Linked DNA regions of Daphnia pulex. The protein of the gene in region 1 purifies or fractionates together with the protein of each later gene. This does not show direct contact. Links are inferred from orthologs where the notes say so. Each region holds a gene or a part of one and is shown in the gene's direction. Other genes may lie near its edges.

Region 1 (3,650 bases):
TCGCCTTATAGCATTGGACAAGAGCCTGCGCAACGACGAAGAAGCAAAATCGACATCTGATACTGCCTATCTCAGTAAGCCGAACAGAGATGAATCACAGCACAAAGAGCAAGCACTTCCTGCCCAGTACGGTCAGAACAAAGGAAAAAGCCACCCTTCCAGTCAACATGCTGGTATACCGAGAACATGCTGGGAGTGCAACTCCACTACGCATGTTAGAGCTCAATGCCGTCAATACAAACGCCGGCGTGAGAGAGAAGGAGAAGAAGCGGACAGAAAAAGGAAGCGTTACGATCGACATGACAGAAGAGATGATAAACTATGTAAGCTCCCAGGAGCAACTGGCCGATGCACTCACGAAACCCCTGGCTGCTCCACGCTTCAAGTATCTCCGTGACAAGATTGGCGTTCGGGGTGTAGGGGAGGTGTAACTGAAGAGTTAAAGGAGGCTGATATTTCTTTTCTTATTATTTGTCTTGTGACACTGAACCTAGTATTTATGTCTGATTCAAATATGCTGTGTATTCTGTGCTCATGTTTATTTTTGGGGGTCCAGTTTGAGGGGAGGTGTTGAGTATAAAAGATAAACAAACTGGACAGTGCGGCAACGCAGGATAGCCAGGAAAGAAGAGAGGGGGAGAAGGACCTACCCAGACAAAGGAATAAGAGAGGGGGACTCAGTGCTGTTGACGATTGTGGCTAGGCGAGTAGCAATACAAAGCGTTCTTTGCAGCAAACAGGTTCACGTGTTAATTTCTATATCAACACTGCTAACATAAAGCTATAGTAGCAATATGGTTGTTACACATAAGCTACATAGAATATTACATAGTATACGTGGCTTATAAAAGAGAGGTAGGACCGTAGGAGTAAAAATTATTTTGAATTTTGAGATTCTGTTATAAACGGCGTGTACGTCGCGTTGATTCCTAAATAAGTTATACTTTTTCTCCGTAACTAATTCAATACTTTTTCTCCGTTTTTTGCGCAAGGTAAACTCAGGAGTAACGAAAAAAAGTAAAACCCTTCCGATTCAGAAGAATCCTTAAGCTAAAATAATATATTTAATAATTAAAAAATATAAAGATTGGCTGGAACTGGGAGATGGTCTATTCTATCTTTTAATTTTTTCTCTGAATTTAAATAGCTACAGAGAATTCCTCATAGGGGTGCTGCTTGCGACACGACACAGGGGGCGATGTCACATCTTCAAAAAATTCGGGCCGCCTACATTCTAGGTTACTGTACACACAATTTACATCCCCACGTGTTGTCTAAACATTTGTGAGGTTACCGCTCATAGATACTAGTAAGTAGTAACTAGTAATTTCATTGCAATCCAAGTCTTTACGTGTGTTATCAATAGAAAATGGGTAAAGCAAAGAGACTGAAAGTTTCAAAGACAGGAACTGGAAGAACTGAAGGTCTTGACAAACAGATTTCAAAAGAAGAAATTGCCTCAAGTAAAGGGCGAGTCAAGGTAAGTTTAATTGAAATATTTTTATTGCTTCAAGAGACTTCTGTGAATTAATAGGTGTATCTATTTTGGTTGTTTCAATAGGTCAGAGGGAGAACTGATGCAGATGATGAGTTTGTTGATGATAAACTCTCAGCAAGGATTTTGAAACAAGCCCATCAACAACAACAAGAACTTGAAGAAGAAATTGAAGGAACTGGCTCTTCGTTTAAAGTAAGCTCTACGTTGCTCAAAGTTTTATTAACTTGGTTAATTTTATGTTTACTAGGCAAGAGCCACTTCCTTAGGAGCAGATTTAGATGGAGATGGAAACAGTGAAGAATCAGACTTTGAAAAGGATTCACAATTTGAGGAAGATGTGGTAAGGTTAACTGCTTATTAATCATATCAAGATGATGGTTAAGATACTGATGGTTGACTGTATTCTCTATAGCAAGTTGATGAAGAGGATGAAAAAGCCCTGGCATTGTTTATGAATCCCAACCCAGCACCAAGGAGAACTCTGGCAGACATAATTTTAGAAAAAATAACAGAAAAACAGACAGAGATCCAGAGTCAATTTTCTGAAATTGAAAGTAAGTTGCAAATTTATTTGATTTAAATGGACTAGAAATAACTTGATAACATTTAAGGCGTCAAGTTTCAAGATGTGGATCCTCGAGTTAAATCGTTGTACCTGGGTGTGGCATCAGTTTTACATCGCTATCGAAGTGGAAAATTACCCAAAGCTTTCAAACTGATTCCTTCATTGCAAAATTGGGAGCAAATTTTGTATATTACTGGTAATAAGATTTTCTGTTTGGTATAATTGCAATTAAACTTAAAAACTGATTTGTATGTTCTGCTTTTAGATCCGGAGAAATGGAGTGCCGCCGCCATGTATGCTGCTACACGAATATTCACATCCAACTTGACAGAAAAAATGGCCCAGCGGTTTTTTAACTTGGTTCTTCTGCCACGTGTTCGTGATGATATTGCCGAGTTCAAAAAACTTAATTTTCATCTTTATCAAGCCTTACGTAAAGCCCTCTTTAAACCTGGCGCGTTTTTTAAGGGATTTCTTCTTCCGATCTGCGAGGTTGTGTTAGATTGTTTTTCATATTTTCAAATTGTTTCATATACATTTTCATATTTAATTGCAGAGTGGGACTTGCACTTTAAGAGAAGCCATAATTATTGGTTCCGTCATTGCTCGCTGTTCCATTCCCGTTCTACACTCTGCTGCAGCGATCTTGAAACTTGCTGAAATGAATTATAGTGGATCGAACTCGATATTTTTGAGAATATTCTTCGACAAAAAATACGCTTTGCCGTATCGTGTGGTTGACGCAGCTGTTCATCATTTCGTAAAGTAATATATTTACACTTTTTATGAAATACTGGATTGTAACTCTTGTTAATTAATCTTTCCTTTGTTTGCATGTAGATTTCAGCTGGATACAAGGGAAATGCCTGTTTTGTGGCATCAATCACTTCTAACCTTCAGTCAACGATACAAGGCTGATCTTAGTAGTGAACAAAAAGAAGCGTTGCTTCAAGTGATTTCCGTTCACAAACATCATACATTAACACCAGAAATCCGTCGTGAATTGTTACACTCCTCTTGCAGAGATGAAGAAATGATAGATTAAAATGAAAGATACTGTGAATAATAAACTCGGCGTCTGAATTCATTTGTTTTCTATTCCTAGCAAACAGTGTTTGATTATGAGAAGTCAAGATGGAATGAGATCTTACCTGTGGTTATGAAACGGATTTTTGGAACATTCGTATTTTTAGATGTTATATCATCAGTTGAACGAAATATCATCGCTGAATATCGATTTGCGATACTAAAAGCAACATAAGCCAATTCAATTTCAATATAGGTTAATATACGTTCTTTATTTCCAAGGCACTTCGGAAAACATTGAAAGAGATATTACACACATCTCTTTTCCCTATCCCTTCAAAAACTGTCAGCCAAAAATACATTCGGACTTGTTACGATTTTACGAGGTTAAAGAACGAAACGCTTAAGCATGACGGTGAAAACACAAAAGGTAGAAACTGCGACTGATTATACACGCCTTGAGTGAAACCATTATTAACTAGTGATTGGTTAACAAGATATAAGTTTGATCTGATACCAACATTCATAGGGGGGAGGGGGGGGGGGAAAGGCAAATTATGT
Region 2 (3,171 bases), on another chromosome or scaffold:
ATGTTTGTGTATACAATTTGAAGAATCCTCACAAAAACATGTGGGAACTGAAACCGGAATACCGCCACTACAAAGATGAAGACAAGGACTAATAAGTAAACAGTCCATTAACTTTCTAATAAAGCTGTGATTTTCAGAAAACTACTAAACAGCTCTTGGATGCACATAACTTCAGATAACTCAAATGGGTTTCAACTGCCCTTGAAATTGTTCGATAAAATGTTCTCTTAGGCTACAATTTTCCCTTCGTCTAAAAATTCCCGTGCTAACAAGTGTGTGGTCCAATACATCGATGCGAACTTGAAAATTTTACCAATATAATTTATCCCAACCATATCAGGAAGAAATGATTTCATGAGCGAGTTCAGTGCGAAAAGTAGGCTTATGTGCTAACGAGGAACCCCTTTTAAACAGAATCGTAAGATTGTAAAAACAAGAATCAAGTAAAAGGTTACATGTTAATATTTACAGCTTTTCATGGTACCCTACTTACAGTTAACATTATATTATCTCAGTCAAAAGCCATAATCTATTAGAATAGCAACAGCCTGTCTCTTGATGAGATTCATCATCCAACCATGATTCAACCAACAATTTAACGCTGAATATAGTTATCTACAAATTAATTTGTTTTAATTTTCACTAGTTACAATTTGCCAGAATGTAATTTTAAAAATTGTTTATTTGTCAATATAGATACTATAAAATACACCAAACAGAATTATTTCACCAGGAAATCTGCAACTTCAGGTAGCGATGTGAGGGTTCCTGTACAACAACAGAATAAGAATTAGCATTTCAACATCATAGAAAACCATTTAAAGCACACTTCAACAAATTATCCACAGTGTGCCTCAGTGCCTTCAACATCAATTACTTTATGTTACTACTATCAAATGTTTTAATTCGGTTCAATCCATGTGTTCCAAATAAGGAGACAACGGTAGATCAGAATAAATTTTAATTTAGCATGTCCGCTTGGCCACTATAAGCTAAGTAGAGCTAGTGTGGTTCAAAGGAATGCAAAATTCAGTCTTAGTTGCATGAATTAAATAAGATATTTACCGAAACGAATACAAAACTGGCTAGCAGCAATCAAACCAGATGGGGGAGCTTCACATGCTTCAAATGGCGTTTTACAGTCCTACTTATAACATTTGATTTCGTCCAACGCTGTTGAATTTCGGACTTCCTGTCGGAGTTGACAGATGGAAAATCTACAATAAAACTTTTGAAATCTTTTAAACAAATATGAACCAATTAAACTTGTTTATAATTTATTATTTCTATAATGATAGTTGAAAAAATTTTAAAAAGCAAACTGAAATAAATTATGTGGGAAGATGAATTCCGAAAGAGGGGGTTGAGAAGGAGGCAATGCTGGGCTTGTCAACTTCGTCTACAGAAAAAGTACTGTGTATTCCTTCTTCCTCTCGTAGACCGGTCTTAAAATACGTGAAATGGCTACGGCTCAGATCTCGAAAAAACGAAAGGCAAGTAATTCTTTCAACACGTGAATCTTTTTCATCTTGTTCTCACATATTCACCGTTTGAATATTGAGGTGTTATTGATGAAATAGAACAGTTTCTAACCAGGATGTGAAAGATTTTGGAGGATAAAATTCGTCTTGGCTTGACATGTTTCTATTGTCAGTGTGCTTGAGTTTACCTAATTTTCTTATAATTTTGTATTACAGTTTGTGGCGGGAGGTGTCTTCAAGGCTGAATTGAACGCCTTCTTGACCCGTGAATTGGCCGAAGATGGTTATTCTGGAGTTGAGGTAATTCTTGTGAAATTATTTTGTTACTGTGTAGATATCTAAAACCCATTTTCCTATTAGGTGCGCCTTGCCCCCACTCGCACAGAAATCATCATTCTGGCTACACGTACCCAGAATGTTTTGGGTGAGAAAGGCCGTCGCATTCGCGAGTTGACATCTGTTGTCCAAAAGAGATTTGGCTTCCAAGAGGGAACTGTTGAGCTCTATGCTGAGAAGGTTGCTACTCGTGGCTTGTGTGCTATTGCCCAAGCTGAGTCCCTGCGCTACAAACTCATTGGTGGTTTGGCTGTTCGCAGGTAAGCTAATTCAATAGGCTGACGTTTAAATAGTGCATTTCTGATGTAATGTGTTGTTACACAGAGCTTGTTATGGTGTTCTCCGTTTCATCATGGAGTCTGGAGCTAAGGGTTGTGAAGTTGTTGTATCTGGCAAACTTCGAGGTCAGCGAGCCAAGAGCATGAAGTTCGTCGATGGTCTGATGATCCACAGTGGAGAACCCACCAACGTCTACGTCGACACTGCCGTCAGACACGTCTTGCTTCGCCAGGGTAATTTATTGTGCATTATATTGACTTGGGAGGAATCTTTCTAATCATCTTTGTTATTGTAGGAGTACTTGGTATTAAGGTTAAGATCATGTTGCCGTGGGATCCCAACAACAAGAACGGACCCAAGAGACCTTTGCCAGACAATGTTTCCATCCTGGAACCTAAAGATGAGACACACATCGCAGAGGAACTTAAAGCAGCCAAGATGTCCGACATCGCAGCAGCACCTCCCACCCAAGCTGCTGCCTAAGGAGTGTTTCGTCTATTTACTGGGCTGGTGTCGATTAACTACCGTAGTTTCCAATATGAAACGAGAGTTAAATACATGCTTTGCCTGGTCAAGGTTGTGTTTTATTTATTATCCTACACCCTACTTTTCTTTTTACGCTCAAATTAAACTTACCAATTAATTTAGGTAATGAAGCAAGTCCAAGAATTGATGTGTAAAAAATCTTAGTAAATTAGAGTAAGGTCTGCGTGAAAAACAAGGTTTTCCAACTACCGCTGTCGGCGTGAGACTTATTTCAGTAAGTGGTTCTGCAATTGAACGTGTCGGTTGCTGAAAATAGTTCTCGTAGAATAATTGTGCACTACATGCCGACAGTGAACTTCAAAATACGGTTCAATGCAGAGCTGCTGCAGTTTGTTAATTTATAATTGTTTTATCGTTATCCATCTCATGAAGAAAAGTTAAAGTGAAATGTTACCGATATTGTCGATGTTGTGGTTACTCGTGTTACTGGAAAGGTAAGAACTTTTCTTTAATTTTCTTAATCTAGTGTATTTAAGAGCTTACGTGAGCATTGACATTTAAGCATTTTCTTGGTGATTCAGGATGAAAG
Region 3 (4,167 bases), on another chromosome or scaffold:
ACCTGTGGGAAAAAAACAAACATCAAAACAAAGAACAAAAATAAATAACGAACTTTGAAAAATAAAAACATTCTAGGAACGACTCCGACGATTCCACTAAAGATAAACGGACATGTCGCAATCATTAGCATATCAAATGTCTTGCAATTACACAGATATCCTCTTGGGTGGGTGGGGGAGTTGAGAAGGGGTAGGGGTCATGACATGGGATAGTCATCCAATAGCAACATGATAACATCCTTCCATTGAAATGGTGCCAATGCTTTTCATGCAACTCTAAACCACCTCCCTACTTCCGTCAAGAAAATTCTGAACATTTGTTTAGTGTTGCAATCACCTCAGCCATAGAAGTCTGCGATGGTAGATTTATGATGAATGGTTTGCCGGCTTCAACAGTGACATCAGGAATATTCTTATGGTCTTGCAGTTGTAAATCCTGCTGATGATGGTTCAGCTGAGCAGGAATATCAAGCCTATTTAGAACTGGATTTCGAACAGGTTCCATATTAAAGCTGCCTTGGACTGAGCAAAAGGCACTCAGCAGAAAGAAAATCCACGGATTGGGCATTTTTGTTGACAGCATGAGAAAGTGTGAGTTGGTTCAAGGAAACTTCAACAATCTATGCCAGCAGCTGCAGCATCTACAAAAACAAAGGTAATATAAATAATTTAATATTTATATATTTGTCTAGTTATGCAGTACAAAAGTTCTCCCATGAGACAGACTCTCCCCCCAAGTTGAGATGCGAGAATAAGCAGCTAGGGAAACGAAAAGGCGAAAAATACCCACAAAGAGGGGAAGTTGGTGTAATGTAAACGATGACGCGATTAACATAAAAATGCCTTGCGGGTGTGGTACATGAGCACATTTAGAGCCTCTTTCCACTTAATCGGTGTTCACAATCAAGATAAAAACCAACTCAAAAGGGAGAAGAATTTGACACGACCCAGTCTTATTAAATATCAATGATTTTAACTAACTTTATGGACTTACCAATACAAGTATTATGGCCTTCAGCTGCACTTCTATAACAACCGAATCCGATACATTTCAGGGGAGGACTGAGACTAGACTGGGCAAAAGGGGAGGGGAAGAATACTAAACACGAAGCCTCTTCTGTCTAAAGCAAGTTCCAAGCCGTCGAACATCGACTAGTTTTTTTCTTTCTTTTTTTAAATCTCAAGTGTCTCGACGACACACAACACAAAACCCATGGTAGAATCAAGTTTCAGCAATATAGCTCAGTGACGACTGGAAACGGGAAGTCGGAGGACATTACTGGTTCAGTAGTAGTTTACTCACGACCGGACATTGATGTTCAAAAGATTGATTTACAATATTAGATCGCGCAGCATTTCGAGTCGAACAAAAATAACGACACGAAGTCATTCATCTCCTTTCCCTCTTGTACTTTAAGTCGAAAACCGGATGCTTCAGACTAATAGTCTTATGCATATTCCAGGGAAGAAGCAACCAAAAAAGGGGGCCTTATAAGGGTAACGGCCTGTATATGGGGTTCTATGCGGTTTTCACGGTCGTGTTGTAACTTAACACGAACGCGCCAACAGATAGCCCACGAATACAGCTTACAGTTAACTAGGCACAGGCTGGTATTCGTGACAAGAACAAGGCCACCATTCGCATAGTGATAGATTATTTCTTAAGAATAAATTGTTGCAATCAGGTTAGAGTGCCAACAGGTTTTAAAAGCTTCTCACTACTACTAAAACTAAACACACTTAAAGAGGAAATTAAATACAAGCCTTTAAATACATACAGAAGCAACTGGGATGAGCTGAATCAAATGAATCCCAGTAAATAATCCCAGCAATAATGACCGCTCAGACATATTCACGCGACTTTCAGTGATTTCTGGTTTGACGTCTGATGATAAAAAAATCAGTAGAGTAAAAAATTGACAGCTAGTGACCAAGGTCCTAGTCACAGTTATAACATGGTATGAGGATGGTTATAGATATAATAGAAAGTCCGCCCGACTCCGCTTTGTGAATTAATAATAATAAATACGAGGCCCCAGCATATTCAAACCAATACTATATTTTCTGAAGAAAGAATGAAGAATGATTACTTCATGAAAAGACACAGCATTCCTACACGAGAACTTTTCCCCCGAATTCAATTTAAAAAACAAAGTTGTCGACAAGAAAAGTCGAAAAGCTTATTTCTTATATGGTATTGGATGCGCTTAGAATTACCAAACCAAAATAGATAAACCGTATTACACGGCTGAGAGCAACGTAAAGCTGAAACTGTTTCCCACCTCCCAAGAGCTCGACGCTTCAACGAGATTACAAAAAAATCCCGATTCCATTTGTTTAGTTTTTCTGGATTTTTCGAAAAGGAGTCACACCATTGAAGGTTTTTGAGTAGGCTATTATGGAACATTCAACGATAGTTTCGTTCAAATCTGAGCTCTTTCGACGTCTCGTCATGAGATTATAGGGGTCACTTCTGATTTTGATAGATTGAAAAAACAAAAAAAAAAGCAGGAAGGATCAAGGATTTGTTTTTTATTTTGACAAAGACAAGTTTTTGATAAATACCGCTAGGTGTCTTTAGCCGATAGTACAGCCGTTACTCGTTAGAGAGAGCTCAGTAAAAATAAGTTTCGTCTGCCCACCCAAAGCTTCTTTTGACTTTTCTGAGTTCTAATAGATACACGTGGTAATCTATCTTAAGTAACAATGGAAGTCAGTAACCAAACAAAGTCTAGCAGTGATTTTGTAAAAGTGCCTAAACGCAAAGCTGCGAAACGCAAAGCTATTCAGCCTGAAAATGCGGAGAAAAATGAAAGTACATCAATGGAGGTGTCGGAAGAGACTGCTGTGGATAGACCCGCCTTCCCCCCTATCAAGAGAGAAAAGTTGGAGAACGGAGTCGAAATACGTAAAATATCTGTGCCTGCTCACAGATATTCTCCATTGAAAGAAAATTGGATGAAACTTTTTACTCCTATTGTTGAACATCTTCATCTTCAAATCAGGTTCAATTTGAAGAATCGCCAAGTTGAGCTTCGAACATGCAAGGACACTAAAGAAATAGGTACAAAATTACATTTGTGTTTAATAATTCTGTTTGTTTTTAATTGGCAAAGAGTTTTTTTTTTACTTGAATTATTTTATTTATATATTTTTATCACATTTACAGCAAATGTTCAAAAGGCTGCTGATTTCGTGAAGGCTTTCATCTGTGGGTTTGAAGTAGAAGATGCATTGGCTCTGATTCGTCTTGATGATCTCTTTGTTGATTCTTTTGAGATCAAAGATGTCAAATCATCTCTTAAAGGTATTAAAGTATTACTTTTAAGTTGCAAACAGTGGCTAATGTGTTTTCTTAGGTGACCATTTGAACAGAGCAATTGGAAGATTGGCAGGAAAGGGTGGTCGGACAAAATTCACCATTGAAAACGTAACGAAGACAAGAATTGTTTTGGCTGATCAGAAAATTCATATTCTTGGTTCATACCAAAACATTCAGATTGCTAAAAGAGCTATTTGTAATCTTATTTTGGGCTCCCCTCCTTCTAAAGTTTATGGTAATTTGAGAGCCGTTGCTAGTAGGTCATCTGATCGTTTCTAAAGACTTGTTACACTGTACAAAACAGACTATTGGCATTTTCCAATACACTTCAATGAACTCATGGTATAAAATTGTATTATCATAAAAGAAAAGTCGCGAGGTTTACTACAGGTAACATGTGGAGAAGCTAATAGTTAGCAGAAAGTTACTGCTAATAGTTAGAAGCGAGTTACTTGGGAAGAGTCGAGGAAAATGATTTAGGAATGCCGAGATTAACTACCCCACAGAGACTAGGGAACCCCGTCGTCGTCCCAGACTTCCGAAGAGCTGCAGCTGACATAATAGGTATGGCTAAGTTATTGTGACCATTGCAAGACGTCAAATTGGATGCGGGAATAAACTGATTAATGCCCATTGATTCAAGTTTAGAAATAACATCCAGTCGCTTCAAGTCGACTATAGGAATATAAAATTCGCTGCCAGATGAAGTTGCTTTTTCCATCGATATTGCAGTAGGTTCCTTACAACAGGAAGACTGAGTTGATGAGGTCGTATTAGGAGGCACCAAACTAATCTCGGTAGTGGATCGATTTTGTCCAGAAGTTGCTCCGTTTTTGGTTTGCTGG
Region 4 (3,873 bases), on another chromosome or scaffold:
TCACATGTAGCGAGTGTGCACTGTGCACTTTAAAAAAAAGAAAAGGAAGACATAAAAAGCCTAATAATTTTGGAAGAAACAAATTATGCAAAAAAATACGACCAATTTCCGTCTTATGTGTTCTTGTGTTGGTGTGCCATTATTTCATAAGATTTTTCGTCCTATTTTACTCGTTTGAAACTCATGCACTGCATTAAATGTGGATTCGAAAACTTAACCAATTTAACCAGGGATAAACTCGAAAACCGAGATCTTGGTGACACCTCAAAATATTGTGTACGTATACTCGTTATAGACATAATCAAAACACCGCAAGTAAAAAACATTGAATCGTTAAATAAATCAACAGGAAAATAGCACTGCCCACTGGGAGCCATCACGTGGCATGAAAAAGTCAATGCCATATTCTCAGTGACGACGGTCACATTAGCCCACAAAGCACAAAGTATGAAGGTTACTATCAATTAATCCAAACCCTTTTTCATTCCCCAAATTATTCGCAAGTAATTTAACAACATAACAATTTAGTTTGAATATGCTTACGGGATAGAATTCGTGTTCGATTTTCTAGACATCTTAACTGAAACAGCTCTACGTGGGTGTGACGCACTTTATACGTTCTGTTAAACACTGACTATACGGATTAAAGTTAGTGAAATTACATTCCTTATTCAAATTATCAAGTTTTATACGAATATTTTTAACTTGAACTCATTCAAGGATGAACCTGGAAGAAACCACAAAGGTTTCTCTCATGGCAACTACTTGCATATGCCATAACATGATTTATAACAATTCAACGTCCTTTTTTCTAAAATTATTCACAAGTAATCTTACAGTGGTACAATTTAACTTGAATGGATTTACCGTAGGATTCATTGCAAGCCGACGTCTAAAACCAGTGAAACACAGCTCTACGTCGTGGTATGACTTGCTGAACGTTCTGACTTCTGAGACACAAATTGACTACAGTAATAAACAAAAATATTTGTTCCAAATTAGTAAAAATCACTTCGTTCAATTAAATTACATAAGAACAAACCTTCTCCAAAACCGTGTTAGTCTAACCACATCCGCAAGTGTCCATCTCCGTTCTCTGCTTACACTCATGACTCATCTCATCTAAAGACAAACCTGCTGGAAGAAACCGCGCAGAACCATGCACGTCTATTGTCTAGTGGCTCTAAAACTGAAGAAAAGAAGTCGCGAAAATACACCGGTGTCAGATTGTAACCTTCACGAACGATTTCTGTGAAATAAAAAATTTAAAAATCTTATTTTCAAGGTGATTGCGATTGATTAATTAGATCAATTTTAATTATTTGAAACTTGAAAAATTTAGTTTAAAATTTTAAGTTTTCAAGATTTCAACGTAGCTAGGCTAGCAGACGATTACTTATTTCCAGCCAATGCCAATGTGAGTGTGTAGCAATGTGCGACAAAGTTGGTTAGGTCCTTAAATTTTCACGTGTATAAATATTTCCTTCTTAAGAAATGGGGAAAATTAACGTTTCTCTTCTTCGTTACTTGAATACAGAAGACTACCGTGTTTTGACGGCTGTAAGTAGCTTACTACAAAACACTAAAAACAGTACTTCTTAACTTCACTTTTAATTGACAGGTTGAAATGGGCATGAAAAATCACGAGCTCGTCAACACAAAATTGATTGCGACAATTGCCCAGCTAGCAGGTGGTGGAGCCCACAAAATCCTTATGAGACTGTCTAAAGAACGATTGGTTGCTTATGAGCGTGGAAAACATTGTAACACAACATGTCACATTCTTTAATATTTCAATTATTTTAATTTTTTTTTGCTATTAATTTAGATGACGGTTACCGATTAACCAATTTGGGTTATGACTTTTTGGCTCTTAAAACCTTTGTGAAGAAGAATGTGCTTTATTCTTTTGGTAATCAGATTGGTGTGGGTAAAGAAGCTGATGTCTATGTGGTGGGCAATGAAGAACAAAAACAGCTGTGCTTGAAAATCCACAGGTAATTTCGTGTGCTCCTGTAATTCATATTGAATTTTCTAATAATTTGTGTTAATTACAGATTGGGGCGAACGTCTTTCCGCAAGATTAAAGAAAAACGAGATTACCATCAACATCGTAACAACGCCTCTTGGATTTACCTTTCCCGACTGTCTGCTACACGTGAATTTGCCTACATGAAGGCCCTTCACGAGCGTGAATTTCCCGTACCCGAACCCATTGACTTTAATCGTCATTGTGTTCTCATGGAGCTGGTGAACGGCTACCCCCTGTAATTGAATTTCTTCTTTGATATTTAATTAATTTGTACTAAATTCTCGTTTCTTTCACTAGATGCCAATTGAGAGAGCTGAAGGATGCAGGTGCACTGTTTGAAGAATTGATGAATTTGTTGTTGAAATTGGCCAATCACGGTGTGATTCACAGTGATTTCAACGAGTTCAACATCATGATAGATGAAGATGAGAAGCCCATTCTGATTGATTTCCCACAGATGGTGTCCACCAGTCATGTCGAGGCTGAACAGTAATTTCGCCCTTCATTAAAAATTCAACAGTTTTGTTTGTAATCGGAATTTTGTTTCAAGGTTTTTCGACCGCGACGTGAAATGCCTCAGAGATTTCTTCAAACGACGTTTCAATTTTGAGGGGGAAGCATATCCTGCTTTTAGTGACGTGGTGTAAGTTGAAATCAATAAATTACGTAAACTTATATCAATTACTTATAGTAAATTCAAACAGGCGAGAGGCCAATATCGATGTGGAGGTTGCAGCCAGCGGCTATGTCAAAGAACTCGAAGAAGAATTGGAAGAAGATTATGAAGAAGAATCAGACAATGAAGTCGAAGCTGATCACAACGATTTACCGGAAGAGAAAATCTCAAAAGAAGTTCCGCCATCTGAAAATAAAACTTCTGTTACTGAAGACGTGAAAGAACCAACCACAGCAGAGTCGACCCCAGATGAACCGTTGCCAGTTGAAAATAAAATTCTTGAGCCCATCAACGAACCACTTGATCCGGAATACGTTCCAGAAGTGTCTATTGAAGGGCTAGCAGAAGACGCCGAAGATGTGGAACAACTTTCAGAGATGTTGACGGACTGGTCGGGCATCAAAACCAAGAGAAGCGGAGCTGGCAGTACCGCTTCCATGTCGACCATCCATCCGGATGTCATCAAACAGAGAGTGAAGAGCACCATAACAAGGCGACAGAACATGCAAGCAGTGCAGAGAATACGCGCCAAAGGTGAAGCAAGTGCCGCCACCCGAAAGAAGCGAGAAAATAAAGATATGATTCGTTCTGATGGTATCTGGGGATGGGACAATTGAAAATTGTAACTTACTTTGACATATACACTGAGTTGTTAACAAAACAAATGTTTTTACTATAAATTTATTTACAAAAGTTGTCATTCATTAGAGTTGGGCAAATTTAAACCAAAGGTCTCACAGATGAACTGAAAACCAGGAGGAGGTTCAGCTTTAAGAACTAAATTTGAATTTCGACTGGCGAAATTTGCCAGATTAATTTGACTTAGATGAAGACAATTGGGTACTGATCCACTTTCAACCACCTTAAGTCGAGCTAAAATGGCTGCAGGGATTTTCTGAAAGTTTGACAAGTAGTCAGCTTGAACGGGGCTGATGGTTAAACGTTTGCCTTTGATTTCTTGAACGCGATTGCCGAATATGTGATCTCCAAGAATAGGTGAGAACAGGTGGGCAAAGTACACACGCAAAAAGTGATTTTTGACGGACGAGACATTGATTTCCACCAGACTGCAAGGTCCATCTCCATGGGATAACGTTTTGTAGTTTATTTTGTACTCCTGGACAAGGTTTTCAGCTACTTTCTTCTTGCTGTATTCTTTCATGAT

What was found. The genes of interacting proteins can lie anywhere in the genome.
Region 2: the proteins of bystin-like (region 1) and 40S ribosomal protein S3-A-like purify together in Homo sapiens (affinity purification with mass spectrometry; 4 studies listed by BioGRID and IntAct, counting the BioPlex papers as one, with this or other methods). This does not show direct contact. The link is inferred for Daphnia pulex from reciprocal best matches to the Homo sapiens genes BYSL and RPS3.
Region 3: the proteins of bystin-like (region 1) and RNA-binding protein PNO1-like fractionate together in Homo sapiens (co-fractionation; 4 studies listed by BioGRID and IntAct, with this or other methods). This does not show direct contact. The link is inferred for Daphnia pulex from reciprocal best matches to the Homo sapiens genes BYSL and PNO1.
Region 4: the proteins of bystin-like (region 1) and serine/threonine-protein kinase RIO2-like purify together in Homo sapiens (affinity purification with mass spectrometry; 3 studies listed by BioGRID and IntAct, with this or other methods). This does not show direct contact. The link is inferred for Daphnia pulex from reciprocal best matches to the Homo sapiens genes BYSL and RIOK2.

What each region holds. Positions count from the first base shown.
Region 1 is NC_060024.1:1,298,082-1,301,731, forward strand, and holds bystin-like, read left to right. Parts: upstream 1-1,167; 5' UTR 1,168-1,309; intron 1,310-1,366; 5' UTR 1,367-1,369; coding exon 1,370-1,480; intron 1,481-1,561; coding exon 1,562-1,690; intron 1,691-1,745; coding exon 1,746-1,838; intron 1,839-1,910; coding exon 1,911-2,052; intron 2,053-2,109; coding exon 2,110-2,259; intron 2,260-2,328; coding exon 2,329-2,555; intron 2,556-2,619; coding exon 2,620-2,828; intron 2,829-2,903; coding exon 2,904-3,108; 3' UTR 3,109-3,150; downstream 3,151-3,650. UniProt on the Homo sapiens protein: Required for processing of 20S pre-rRNA precursor and biogenesis of 40S ribosomal subunits. May be required for trophinin-dependent regulation of cell adhesion during implantation of human embryos.
Region 2 is NC_060025.1:408,678-411,848, forward strand, and holds 40S ribosomal protein S3-A-like, read left to right. Parts: upstream 1-1,347; 5' UTR 1,348-1,460; coding exon 1,461-1,493; intron 1,494-1,697; coding exon 1,698-1,781; intron 1,782-1,841; coding exon 1,842-2,077; intron 2,078-2,141; coding exon 2,142-2,329; intron 2,330-2,391; coding exon 2,392-2,579; 3' UTR 2,580-2,671; downstream 2,672-3,171. Other genes in the region: general transcription factor IIF subunit 2-like, read left to right, coding at 1-92. UniProt on the Homo sapiens protein: Component of the small ribosomal subunit. The ribosome is a large ribonucleoprotein complex responsible for the synthesis of proteins in the cell. Has endonuclease activity and plays a role in repair of damaged DNA.
Region 3 is NC_060025.1:6,663,209-6,667,375, forward strand, and holds RNA-binding protein PNO1-like, read left to right. Parts: upstream 1-1,396; 5' UTR 1,397-2,706; coding exon 2,707-3,064; intron 3,065-3,169; coding exon 3,170-3,307; intron 3,308-3,359; coding exon 3,360-3,601; 3' UTR 3,602-3,667; downstream 3,668-4,167. Other genes in the region: dystroglycan 1-like, read right to left, coding at 1-2, 338-583; putative mediator of RNA polymerase II transcription subunit 26, read right to left, coding at 3,771-4,167. UniProt on the Homo sapiens protein: Part of the small subunit (SSU) processome, first precursor of the small eukaryotic ribosomal subunit.
Region 4 is NC_060026.1:209,352-213,224, reverse strand, and holds serine/threonine-protein kinase RIO2-like, read left to right. Parts: upstream 1-1,388; 5' UTR 1,389-1,494; coding exon 1,495-1,560; intron 1,561-1,621; coding exon 1,622-1,763; intron 1,764-1,828; coding exon 1,829-1,997; intron 1,998-2,057; coding exon 2,058-2,267; intron 2,268-2,329; coding exon 2,330-2,521; intron 2,522-2,582; coding exon 2,583-2,675; intron 2,676-2,736; coding exon 2,737-3,325; 3' UTR 3,326-3,373; downstream 3,374-3,873. Other genes in the region: mitochondrial mRNA pseudouridine synthase RPUSD3-like, read right to left, coding at 3,406-3,873. UniProt on the Homo sapiens protein: Serine/threonine-protein kinase involved in the final steps of cytoplasmic maturation of the 40S ribosomal subunit. Involved in export of the 40S pre-ribosome particles (pre-40S) from the nucleus to the cytoplasm.